Daphnia pulex: one gene and its partners. The protein of the gene in region 3 purifies or fractionates together with the protein of the main gene of each other region. This does not show direct contact. Links are inferred from orthologs where the notes say so. Each region holds a gene or a part of one and is shown on either strand. Other genes may lie near its edges.

Region 1 (3,753 bases), about 9.9 Mb from region 3:
CTGGACTTTCAACTGTCTTTCTTCTTTAGTAGGAGCATTACCAACAACAGCAATTGTCGCTTTGTTGAGAACGCAGTACATTGTAATCAAATGCGTACGTATCTGTTCAGAAGGCATAGCCTAGAAAAGTTATAAAATCAGAAAGAATTAAAAAAAACACAAAAAAAAGATAAAGCTAACATTTCATTGGTCATGACTTTTTAACATTTCTACCTGTAGAGTCGGTCCTTCTGGTAAATCTTCGCGTTGAGCTTCAAATAATTCAGTGCCGAAGTGAAGACAATTGTTACGGTGATCAATCCTTATTTGCATATCGGTATGACGGACTGCATTAACAACAATGCGTTCCAAGTCAAATGGAGATGCAAAGGGAGCCAATTGCACCAAACGTTCGAATCGGATAGTCGAGTAGAGCTGGGCTATTTGCTTTACCAATCTGGTAAGCGTGATTTCTTCCAAGGCATGAATATATTGGTTCAAATAAGATGTCTCTTCGACTTCGGCCATAAACGCTAGAATGTTCTTGACTTTGTTACATAAATGTAATGGGTCGAACTCTACCTCCAAGAAATGATACAACTGCTGCAACTGAGGCATTGCAGTAGCTACCACACCAAGGCGAACCAAATCTTTAATCAATCCATTACGTGTAGGAGGCTGATTCAAATGAAGAAGAGTAGCTAGTTTTTGCGTTTTTTCCATAGCACTTTTCTCGGTTTCAATGAAACGATCAAATTCAGGGTGTGCAGAGGGTAATGGTACTGCTAAAGTTGCAACAAGTACGCGCGATCCAAGTTTTTGAAGTTCTTCAGTCGTAATATTTTTTTTCAAGTCCCGTGACAGTTGGAAAAGCCGAAACAGAGCTGCAGCGTGGAACAAATGATTTCCAGACTTTCCGAAAACGAGGGCAATTTTCTGATAGTATTGAGCCATTTGTTGAGGACGGGGCATTTTCTTAGCCAATATCATTAATCCGTGAATGTCTTCAATGGCTTTATATGCTTCTTGCCACAACTCCATTTGAATGGCGAAATCAAGTTGCAAGAGTCTGGTTTCCAAATTCATTTGTTGAGTCTCAGGATTACTCAAATTAACAGCAGTTACAGATGGGGTTCCTTTCACCTATGATATAAATATTGTCTTTTAACACATTTCTAAACAAATAATAATTTAAAAAATAATTTTCTTACCATCAAAGCAAGATGAGACCTTAGATTCTCGCAGAGCTTACGAAACTCGGTTTTCCGAGCATACTTCAGACAAAACTTGAAGGCATGTTGAGCAGTATCATGGTACAGTTTCTCAACCCTTGAATTAGTTCGAAGCAACTCTAAACACTGTCTGTATGACTCCCAAAGAAATTTGACCCATGGAGTCAAAATCACACGGTCAGACCTGTCTTGGGCATCTTCTCCACTGACAGCACTGAGCACAAAGAAATCATGATAACATAATCAACCAGAAAAAAATGCAATGAATTGACTACCTCAGAAGTATACTTTCAGGAGTAGCAACATTGTCCAGATCATCAATATCCACAACAGCTTGATGGGATTCTTGACGTGCTGCTTCTGTTTTTTCCTCAGCTAAATTAAGGTAGAATCGTACAACATTTTCTAATGATGCAACATTTACCTGTAAATAAACAACAATCATCATGAGTTTGTTAGAAGGAAAACATGAAACAAGTTAATCCTTACAGATTGACACATGTTACGGTATTGGAACAAGCCTTCCTTAGCCATGTACGCCTTTTTCAAATCCACACAAAGTTCCAAGTATTTGATCATTATGGGTTCTAGCACTTTTTCTGAATAAGTTGTTGACCGATATTTCTTGCTCTTAATAACTTCAGCTAGGGCATCCAAGGCTCGAATAGGTTTCCCCACTTCAATGAACTCTGTAACAGAAGTAACAGCATTTTGTCAATAAGCGAGCGATATAAACCGGTGAACACAACATTTAAGAAATCAACTTGAGTAGTAATTAGTAAAGTACTCGTGAATAACAAAATACAGACCATTTGCTCTTTTGAGTGCATTTTCAGGTCGTTGATAGAAACGCGACATTTTTATATTCTCATAACACGTCGATCAGCAATCAGAACGCTTCTCTTCGCTGGCAATTGCTCAAGCAACGTGGCTGGGGCAAGAAAATGGCCGTCCAAGTTTTTAGACAACTGTGGTTGGGTTTGGTTAACTGGTTAACTATTCAAGCTGACTTCAGCTACGGGCCACAAAGCGCATGGCCCTGCAATGTGTTTGATAGAAATCGTCCCTAGGTTATTCTGCGTTGCCATTTTACAATTCTCAACAACTTTTTCCACAATTAGCAGCAATTAGTAACATATTTGCTTCTTGTTACGAATTGCGAATGTCGATGCCCACCACTACCCATGATGTTGCACCTTAGAATACCCTTTTGTTTTATATTTGGATGTTTTCACATTAAAGATGGTCGGGCTCTCTTTCTAATCTTCATTAATTTTCATCCCCAAACAGGAAAAAAACTTGTGCGTTTTTTCTTAGGTTGTTTGTTTTTCTTGTTAACAAATTTACCAGGTTTGTTCTGGCAGGTTCTGGCAAAATGTCCCATTATTCCAGACATGTAAAATACTTGGTCGAGTGTAAAAAAATAGATGCGTGCAACCCTGGTGTGTACTGAGAACTTTAAGGCCATCAAAATATAGTAGACCAATTGAAAAACAATGGATACAGATTACAGATACAGAACAGGTCTGGACGCATTCAACGGTCAGTTTGTTTTTATAAGATCTGTAATTCTGTATGATTCTTTTCTATTTACATAATGATTGCAATCTTTCAATATTTAGGCAATTCATCAACAATTGGAAATACTTGAAAACTTTTCCGACAGTAGCGCCGGAAGATAGCAAGGCCCTCTATGAGGAATTATCAACATAACACCAGGAGTCCTGTTTCTCAGATGCCTTGAAGTCGCTTGAAGTTGCAGGAAACTCAAACACAGCAATATAGTATTTTGTTATTTTTGTTACTTAATAAAAAAATGCAAAATTTATGGACACACAAAGTTTTTTTTCTTATTCCTCTTTACACTAAATCAATTTAAAGTTAGGAACGAAACGAGATATTAAAAATATTCGCTTTTCGACCGCTAGAGTGCTCTACGCTGGGAGTTTTTTCTCTGTGTGGGGTGGGCATTGTGGATAGTCGAGGTACCCTTAAATCGCGTGTGTGTGTGTGTGTGTGTAGTCTGAAGTGTCAAATAGGGACTGGTTTGTGTAGTCGTGGTAGAGGATTTTTCCTAGCGTCATTCAAGATGGCAGATTCAGCGTTGGAATCAGCAAAGATTGTGACTCTTTCGTATCAATCCAAAGTTAAAGACAACGATGTAAACGATAGTTCTTCTACTACTAACGTGAAAACCCCTGCTTGTGGCAGCTTGCATCCATCGTCACCCAGTCGAATAATGGATGGTGTGGCAACGGGCAACGTGCCGTTAGACAACCAAGCGGCCTCTACAACAAAGAAAACAGCGGATTCTGACAAGAAGAAAAAGAGTAAGATGGCCGATGAGGCTAGAAGCAATTCACGGGCGTATGAAGCAATCCGACTGACTAGTGGTGGTGAAACTCGAGAAATGTCTGTTAACGAACATTTTGATGGTCAACAACGTCGGTCACTCATAACATCGGCTCTCGTCAATGATGAAAAGAAACGTCGGCGCTCAGATAGATACGACAGTTCAGAAAGTTCAGACAGGTCAGTAAAT
Region 2 (3,753 bases), about 6.1 Mb from region 3:
CTTTTCAAGTTCATAAAGGAGTTGGTTAATGATGCGACTGGCCTTTTCCTTCAGTGTACTAGGAAAGTACTGGGCCAGTCTGCCTAGGAGTACTAGGAAATTCATTTTCGCTAAAGTAAAACATAAATATTATAAATAACCATAGAAATACATATCTATGCATACACAGTAATAATACAATCTGCATAACAAACAGGGTAATTATACAATAGTCTTTTTAATTAATCACCTTTGCTTGAACTATCATCAGAAGATGTAGCCATTTTTTCAAAAAGCATATTAGAAAGGGCTGGCAAATTCAGTTCTTCTAATATTTCTGTTGGTGAAGTTTGAGCAGTAATAACAACTTGGCAAAGAACAAAATAACAAGCTCCTCGTATCTTAGAATTTTTGGAGTTCATGTACATCAATGCTAAATTCTTAAGGTAAATGAAAGTTATACTATTAGGTTTTTACACATAGCTAGGTAATATTAATTATTTTCCATACTTTAATAACCACTAAATGGTTGCTCATGGATTCTCCAAATTTTTCCAGTAAATCACCCAAAATTGACAGGGCACAATTTATTATTTCTGCAAAGTTGTCATCCTTTTGAGAATCTCTGAACTTGGACAACAAGGAAATTAATCCAATTTCTTTGTTTAGTAAAGCCGAGACAACAGAATCTTTAGAAAAAATACAATGTAAATGAATTGATTAACATGTTTTTGATGGGACCAATATTTGAAACCTACTGTCTTTGGTTTTGGATACAACATCTTTAATATCCTTGATTTGCTCCAGCATATCGCTGCACGTTCCAGAATGCATCTGAAATAGATAACCTTCCAATACGCTGTCCATTTTATATTCCTCGATGTTACCGACAACCGGACACTTTTAAAAGGCCAACTTCTTCTCGATTATTCGCAATTTTTACGACTTTAAAACTTTAATCATACATATTTAAATGTTAAGACAAGTTTTCAATTGTAGTGGTTCTTCAAAATTTTGCGATCAACGTTAACTCACGTAGGTTATAGGCCTAAGTGATGTTTTCATCCCTCCCGGGTTATGATGATTCGGCTGCTAGAATTGTGCTTTTGCGTAGGCATATTTGCCATGACTGATAGTTAGGCGTAATACATATTTGTAAAATATTCGCTATCATGGTTTTAAAATATCATTACGTTACTTTAAAAATATTTAAAAAAATTATTACCAACTCATTCCTCAAATGGGTATAAGGATTCAACTTTTTTGGAAATGAATAAATGTAGGCTATTTTCTGAAAACAAAAAAAAATCCAATGTATGATTATAATGCGAATAAAAATCAAGAAAAAATAATAATAATAAAAAATCTAAATTATTTTCCCTTCAGAAGATCCCGTTCTAGCTGACAGGCTAGGCTAGTCACCAAGTTACCTATGGTGTTTGGTGAATGGTGATTGCCTGATTGGTGGATGGTGGTTGCCTTGGCCTTCTCGATGGTAGTATTATTTGTTGAAATCTGGCACAGGCTTCCGCCATTAAAGACTCGTGTCCGGTGTGCAGTGCTTGTTTTTCATCATGGCTCGACGAAAAGAAAATGATCGAGCTCAGCAAAATAACGATGACTCGGATTCTAACCCAAACGATGAATTAGAAGACGAGCCCAACTTCGATGATCCGGAAGGTTATGAGGACGATATTTCTGAAGAAGGTACCGTTTGTAACTTACCTTTTGCCATATGGCTTTCCTGAGCATGCCGGCATTGAATCTTGCTAACTGTCAATGTAGATCTTATAGGTGACCTCATCAGGCAGCGTCCGAAAGAAACCGACGGAGTCGAATCAATTGTTGTTATTGACGGTGTTCCTCAGGTTGGTACTGAGAGGATAGAAAAACTTCAAAATGTCCTGAGAAAACTATTCCAAAAGTTTGGAAAAATAACTAATGAATATTATCCTCTTAATGCTGATGGATCAACTAAAGGGTAATTTATTAGTTTTTTTTTTAACTTTTGTGTCAGCCCAATTTTAACATAATATACTTTTGAAGCCATGTTTTCATAGAGTACTCAAATGCCAATGAAGCATTGGAAGTTCTTAAAGGAACTAATGGTTACAAGTTCGACAAAAATCACACCTTCACTGTGAACTTACTTACTGACTTCGAAAAATATAATGACATTCTTGATAAGTGGGAAAATCCAATTCCTCAGCCGTTTAAGGAGCAAGGATGCCTTCAATACTATCTTCTTGATCAAGACGCTTGTGACCAATTCTCAGTTGTGTATGAGCAGGGAGACAAAGTTGCTGTTTATTTGAACACTCAACCTGAACCCTCTCTGCTGGAAGAAAGACCTGTGAGTCACTTCACCTTTATTATTATTATTATTTTTTTTTTTCATATTAAAATTTTATCTGACCAATAATTATCTTCACAGAGATGGACTGAGACTCTAGTGCGGTGGTCACCTCTTGGCACCTATCTAGCCACTTTCCATGCAAAGGGTATAGCTCTTTGGGGTGGTGAAAAGTTTCAACAAATTGTGCGCTTCAGTCATCCAGGAGTGCAATTCATTGACTTCTCACCATGTGAGAAGTATTTAGTATCTTTTAGTCCACTGGCTGATTCAAGAGCAACTGATGAACCACAAGCCATCATCATTTGGGACGTGTTGAGCGGTCTTAAGCGACGAGCTTTTAATGCCGATAAATCTCAAGCCCTGCCCATTTTTAAGTGGTCGCATGATGACAAGTATTTCGCTAGGATGGGAATCGACATGCTTTCTGTTTATGAAACCCCATCATTTGGCCTTTTAGACAAGAAGTCGATCAAAGTAACGTACACGATTTACAAAATCTTCTAATAACCATTTCCTAACATGCACTCTTACATTTTGATAGGTTCAAGGAATTCGAGATTTTGCCTGGAGCCCAACAGACAATACGATTGCTTATTGGGTCGGAGAGGAGAAAGATACTCCTGCTCGCGTCACACTTCTTGAGTTGCCAAGTCGCAATGAAGTGCGAGTCAAAAATTTGTTTAGCGTTGCCGACTGTAAAATGTATTGGCAAAAATCAGGTGACTATTTGTGTGTGAAAGTCGACCGCTATGCCAAATTAAGGAAAGATAAGTCCGATATCAAATACAGGTAATGAGATGCCACTCCTTCAATTAATAGATATAAAAGCTAATTTTCCCCCCTTTGATAGCGGTATCTACTACAATTTGGAAGTTTTCCACATGCGAGAAAAACAAATTCCAGTCGACTCGGTAGAAATCAAGGAAACCATTCAAGCTTTTGCGTGGGAGCCAGTTGGTACTAAGTTTGCCGTCATCCACGGTGAGCCACCGAGTACTTCTGTTTCTTTCTTCGAAGTTAAAACTGGACAAACGCCTACGATGGTTAAAAAATACGAACGTAAACCTTGCAACCAGTTGTACTGGGCCCCTTCTGGTAAGAAAACATTAAATTTAATGTTAAAATTCTAAAATCCTTACTATACTTTATCGAACAGGCCAGTTCATTGTGTTAGCCGGCCTACGTGCCATGTCTGGCACATTGGAATTTGTCGACACCCATGATTTTACCGTCATGAATACGGGCGAACACTTCATGGCTACTGATGTGGAGTGGGATCCAACCGGTCGGTATGTCGCAACTGCTGTTTCCTGGTGGGGTCACAAGGTAACAAAAATCAAGCAATGTATTCATTTTTGACAATGTTTGATCTCTTGTACTTTGACAGGTCGATAATGCCTACTGGTTGTGGTCCTTCC
Region 3 (3,753 bases):
AACTAAAAGCCAAAGCGAAATTCAATTCAATCTCACCTCGCTAGAGCGCCCGCGCCCTCCGCTGGGACGTTCAGAGGAACGGCCACCACTGCCATGGGAATTATCGCGTTGATTTCTATCACTGAAATTTAAAAAACAAACAAATTAAGTTTCGAGAATCAAATAAAACATTTGAATGAGCTTACTCTTGGCGATCAGTTTCACGTCCACGGAGAGGCGGTTCCCGCTCCTTCATCTGTTTCTCCTTGAGCCGTTCTTCAATGGCGCGTTCACGTGCCGCAGTATCCACCGGCCTGGCTGCACCGAAAATGGATGCAGAGCTGGGTGGAGCCGCTGGAGCTGGGGCAGCAGCAGCAGCTGGCCGTTCAGTTATGGGAGCAACAGCAGCAGTTGGTTCATCGGCAACGGAACCCTCTTCAATTGGGACAGATCGGGGTTTCAGAGATAACTTTGGTCTTTCCTTGGTCGGTTCTAAATAATCAAAATGAAAAATCTTATTAACAATCCAATGCAAAAAGGGAGAACGTGTCAACTTACCTCCAGCAGCGCTTGGGCGTTCACTTCGCTGCATTTCGTCACGGTTGAACGACGAGGGACCATCTCGCTCACGTCCAAAAGAGGAGGGACCGTCCCGGTCACGTCCAAACGACGAGCCGCCTTCTCTGTCTCGACCGAACGAAGAAGGACCGTCACGTCCGCGACTGAATGAAGACGGACCGTCTCTATCACGTCCACCAAAAGATGAGCCACCTTCTCTATCTCGTCCTCCAAACGACGACGAGCCTTCTCGGTCACGTCCACCAAAAGATGAAGGACCATCGCGATCGCGACCACCAAAACCTGAGCTTGGAGGACCGTCTCGGCCGCCACCGAACGAACTAGAAGGACCGTCTCTCCTGGGACCAAATGAACTTCTCTCAGACGAAAGAGCTGAGCCGGGTGGGCGATCCCTTGGATTGAATGAAGCAGAGTACCGTTCGCCAGCAGGTTCTAATTTCAAACAGAATAGTTAAAGACATTGCTGGGAAATCAAATTTGTTGAATCAAATTTACCTCGTTCCATCCTGTCTCCTCCTCTGTCACCACCCCTGAATCCACCACCACCACCGCGATCCTGGCCTGGAGGAGGTCCCTCCCTTGGTGCATTACGCCAATCGGAAGGGGTACGATCTTCCCTTTCCTCGTCATTGCGAGTAGGACGGCCACGACCTCGCCCCATACCGCCAGCGCCCTGTTCTTGATCACCATCTGCGCCGCTAGCAATGTCCACTCGGATTTTGCGGTTCTTAATCATCTGCAAAACAAGGACAAATGGAAACACTACAAGGTCAAATAGAAAAATTTGCAAAATTACCAATTCGTTCATCGTAAGGGCGTCAACTAAATCTTGCCTAGTTTCAAATTCAGCATAACCAAAGCCTCTCAGTCTGCCACCATCACCACCTTCTCTTGGCAGACGGACAGATTTAACCTAGGTAACCAGAAAAAAAGAGTATGAAATATCAGTAGAGAAAAAGTTGCTGTTGTGAAAGCGCAATTTCTTACCGAAAGCCCATGGAAGAACTTGGATACATCCTCTACTTCAATATCATAAGGTAGATTGGCTATATAAGCTGTGTAAGGTGCATTGTTGGGTATCCTAGATTCATCAATGTCTGATCCCCTGGCTGCCCGTGGTGCTGTGGGCAACAACAGCTTCTCCTTGTAAATCGCCTCTACAAATAAAACAAAAAATTACATTGTTGATACTCAATATGTCAGCGTATTAAAACAAAATATTTGACTTGCCATCTTCCATTTCATCAGCCCAACTGGTTTTGGAGGGTGCCATGACGACAGCTTCTCCAGACCTGGAACCTCCATGGTCGTCAGAGAGGAACTCATTCAATGACAGGACCTTTCCTTTGGATTTCTTCCCTTTTTTGGCTGAAATTCAACAGTTAAAAATTCACATCATTATTCAAGGCACCATTTTTAATAATCTATACACGACAAATCAGAAGCGAACAAGTGCCACATGTGAATTTAACCGGAAAGATTTCTAACGTCACTTTATCCGATTGTTACCACAAAAATAAAAATTACTCCACGACGTAGACGAAATTATGGAAAACAATTATTCGACATCACCGGTCTCTTTATCGAGCTTAAAACAGTAAATATCAAGAAAATGCCACGAGGAGAAATTTTTCCTTACCGGAAGCAGCCATGATTTTTTCTGAATGCACTCGTCAGTGCGCGGACTACTAGAGCTAGAGGACGGGACTCGTTGGACAATTCTTATGTTTGTCACGTAATTTTTTTTACACAATTAAATCATAGAAGTTTAAAAATCCTGTTTCAATTTTGATTTAGTTTCAGTATCTAAAATGAGCAGTTTACGAAATATTTGTTATTTAATATTGGTTGCCGAACCCAAGCCAACAAGTTTTCTGCCTCGAATATCTAGTTGCCGAAACGAATGTAAATGTAGTTGCCACCAATCTACACGAGGTGGCGTTGGATGGCTTCTTCTGCTGCTATCGATTAATAAAATGAATCGATTCACGATTGAAAGTCGGTGTGTTTTTTTTTCACGAGTCATGTGACAGTTCCCTTTTGACTAGAAACTAGAAAGAGAAGTCTTAGCTCAATTCACTTTAGTTCTCTTTCAATTTACTATACACAAAAATGGCCATTGCTGCAGCGAAAGGAAGGCTTATAGCCGTCATCGGTGATGAGGTAAATATATTAAAAATGATTTTATCGAACTTCATTTGGTTTCCAAATTTTAAAAAACAATGATTAATTGCAGGACACTTGTGTTGGATTCCTTTTGGGTGGCATTGGAGAGATGAACAAAAACAGGCAGCCCAACTTTATGGTCGTAGACAAGAGTACGAAACAACTTGAGATTTTGAGGTGGGAGAATGAAGTAAAATTTTCTCCTTGTTATGCTTCATACAGATACGAGCATCAGCGAAGTGGAGGACTGCTTCAAGCGCTTCCTCAAGAGAGATGACATTGACATCATTCTCATCAACCAGAATGTGAGTTTGAATGGAATGAATTGATTACGTGTTTGCTCACTTCCTCGCTTAATCATTCAGGTAGCAGAGATGATCAGGCACGTGATTGACAACCACAATGAACCAATTCCAGCAGTGCTCGAAATTCCTTCCAAAGATCATCCTTACGACGCGTCAAAAGATTCCATTCTCCGTCGTGCCAAGGTGTGTTTTTATTTTTAATTCAATAATCACTGATCAAATCATTTCTTTTCGTTTTTCTAGGGAATGTTTAGCGCCGAAGACACCAAGTAATAAAAGTCCTACTGCCATCGGCGCGTAGAATATATTCCCCAATTAGTTTTTGTTTGTTGTTGGGTGTTTTTCTTTCTTTTTCCTTGATGCATTCCTGTCCAGTCTTCATTGTTAATTGAACCTTAAATAGAGCAATCAACAGTCTTTTATGTACACAACTTTCCGCTCCGGCAATCGATTGAAATTATCGACCCCCTCGTTTCCCCAAAAAGAAAGTTTAGCCAATTAGGAGATTCACGTCAGAAAAGATGGGGCCAACTTGGGAGATCTTTTATCAATCAGCGCTTCTTTGTTGGGAGGAAAAGTAAGTATAGTACGTAATTGGATTTTTTAGCCTGTTGAATATTTTCTTTAAAAAAACCCAAATTTGTGCAAGGAAAAAGATTTTGAAGGAAGTTTAGTTGCTATGACACCTGCCAACGTGATCATCAAGCGTGATAAGATGTAACCA

Evidence for each region.
Region 1: the proteins of eukaryotic translation initiation factor 4B-like (region 3) and eukaryotic translation initiation factor 3 subunit A-like purify together in Homo sapiens (co-immunoprecipitation; 3 studies listed by BioGRID and IntAct, with this or other methods). This does not show direct contact. The link is inferred for Daphnia pulex from reciprocal best matches to the Homo sapiens genes EIF4B and EIF3A.
Region 2: the proteins of eukaryotic translation initiation factor 4B-like (region 3) and eukaryotic translation initiation factor 3 subunit B-like purify together in Homo sapiens (affinity purification with mass spectrometry; 3 studies listed by BioGRID and IntAct, with this or other methods). This does not show direct contact. The link is inferred for Daphnia pulex from reciprocal best matches to the Homo sapiens genes EIF4B and EIF3B.

What each region holds. Positions count from the first base shown.
Region 1 is NC_060026.1:6,109,031-6,112,783, reverse strand, and holds the start of eukaryotic translation initiation factor 3 subunit A-like, read right to left. Parts: upstream 2,512-3,753; 5' UTR 2,070-2,511; coding exon 2,021-2,069; intron 1,901-2,020; coding exon 1,701-1,900; intron 1,636-1,700; coding exon 1,487-1,635; intron 1,426-1,486; coding exon 1,191-1,425; intron 1,123-1,190; coding exon 214-1,122; intron 121-213; coding exon 1-120. Other genes in the region: zinc finger protein jing-like, read left to right, coding at 3,301-3,743. UniProt on the Homo sapiens protein: RNA-binding component of the eukaryotic translation initiation factor 3 (eIF-3) complex, which is required for several steps in the initiation of protein synthesis.
Region 2 is NC_060026.1:9,963,771-9,967,523, reverse strand, and holds the start of eukaryotic translation initiation factor 3 subunit B-like, read left to right. Parts: upstream 1-1,428; 5' UTR 1,429-1,553; coding exon 1,554-1,686; intron 1,687-1,764; coding exon 1,765-1,960; intron 1,961-2,025; coding exon 2,026-2,332; intron 2,333-2,413; coding exon 2,414-2,809; intron 2,810-2,876; coding exon 2,877-3,124; intron 3,125-3,185; coding exon 3,186-3,430; intron 3,431-3,491; coding exon 3,492-3,661; intron 3,662-3,722; coding exon 3,723-3,753. Other genes in the region: DNA-dependent protein kinase catalytic subunit-like, read right to left, coding at 1-110, 230-419, 490-668, 738-846.
Region 3 is NC_060026.1:16,025,382-16,029,134, reverse strand, and holds the start of eukaryotic translation initiation factor 4B-like, read right to left. Parts: upstream 2,454-3,753; 5' UTR 2,211-2,453; coding exon 2,198-2,210; intron 1,927-2,197; coding exon 1,789-1,926; intron 1,716-1,788; coding exon 1,546-1,715; intron 1,472-1,545; coding exon 1,355-1,471; intron 1,295-1,354; coding exon 1,054-1,294; intron 991-1,053; coding exon 538-990; intron 472-537; coding exon 186-471; intron 122-185; coding exon 37-121; intron 1-36. Other genes in the region: V-type proton ATPase subunit F-like, read left to right, coding at 2,671-2,721, 2,795-2,876, 2,947-3,029, 3,090-3,212, 3,273-3,302. UniProt on the Homo sapiens protein: Required for the binding of mRNA to ribosomes. Functions in close association with EIF4-F and EIF4-A. Binds near the 5'-terminal cap of mRNA in presence of EIF-4F and ATP.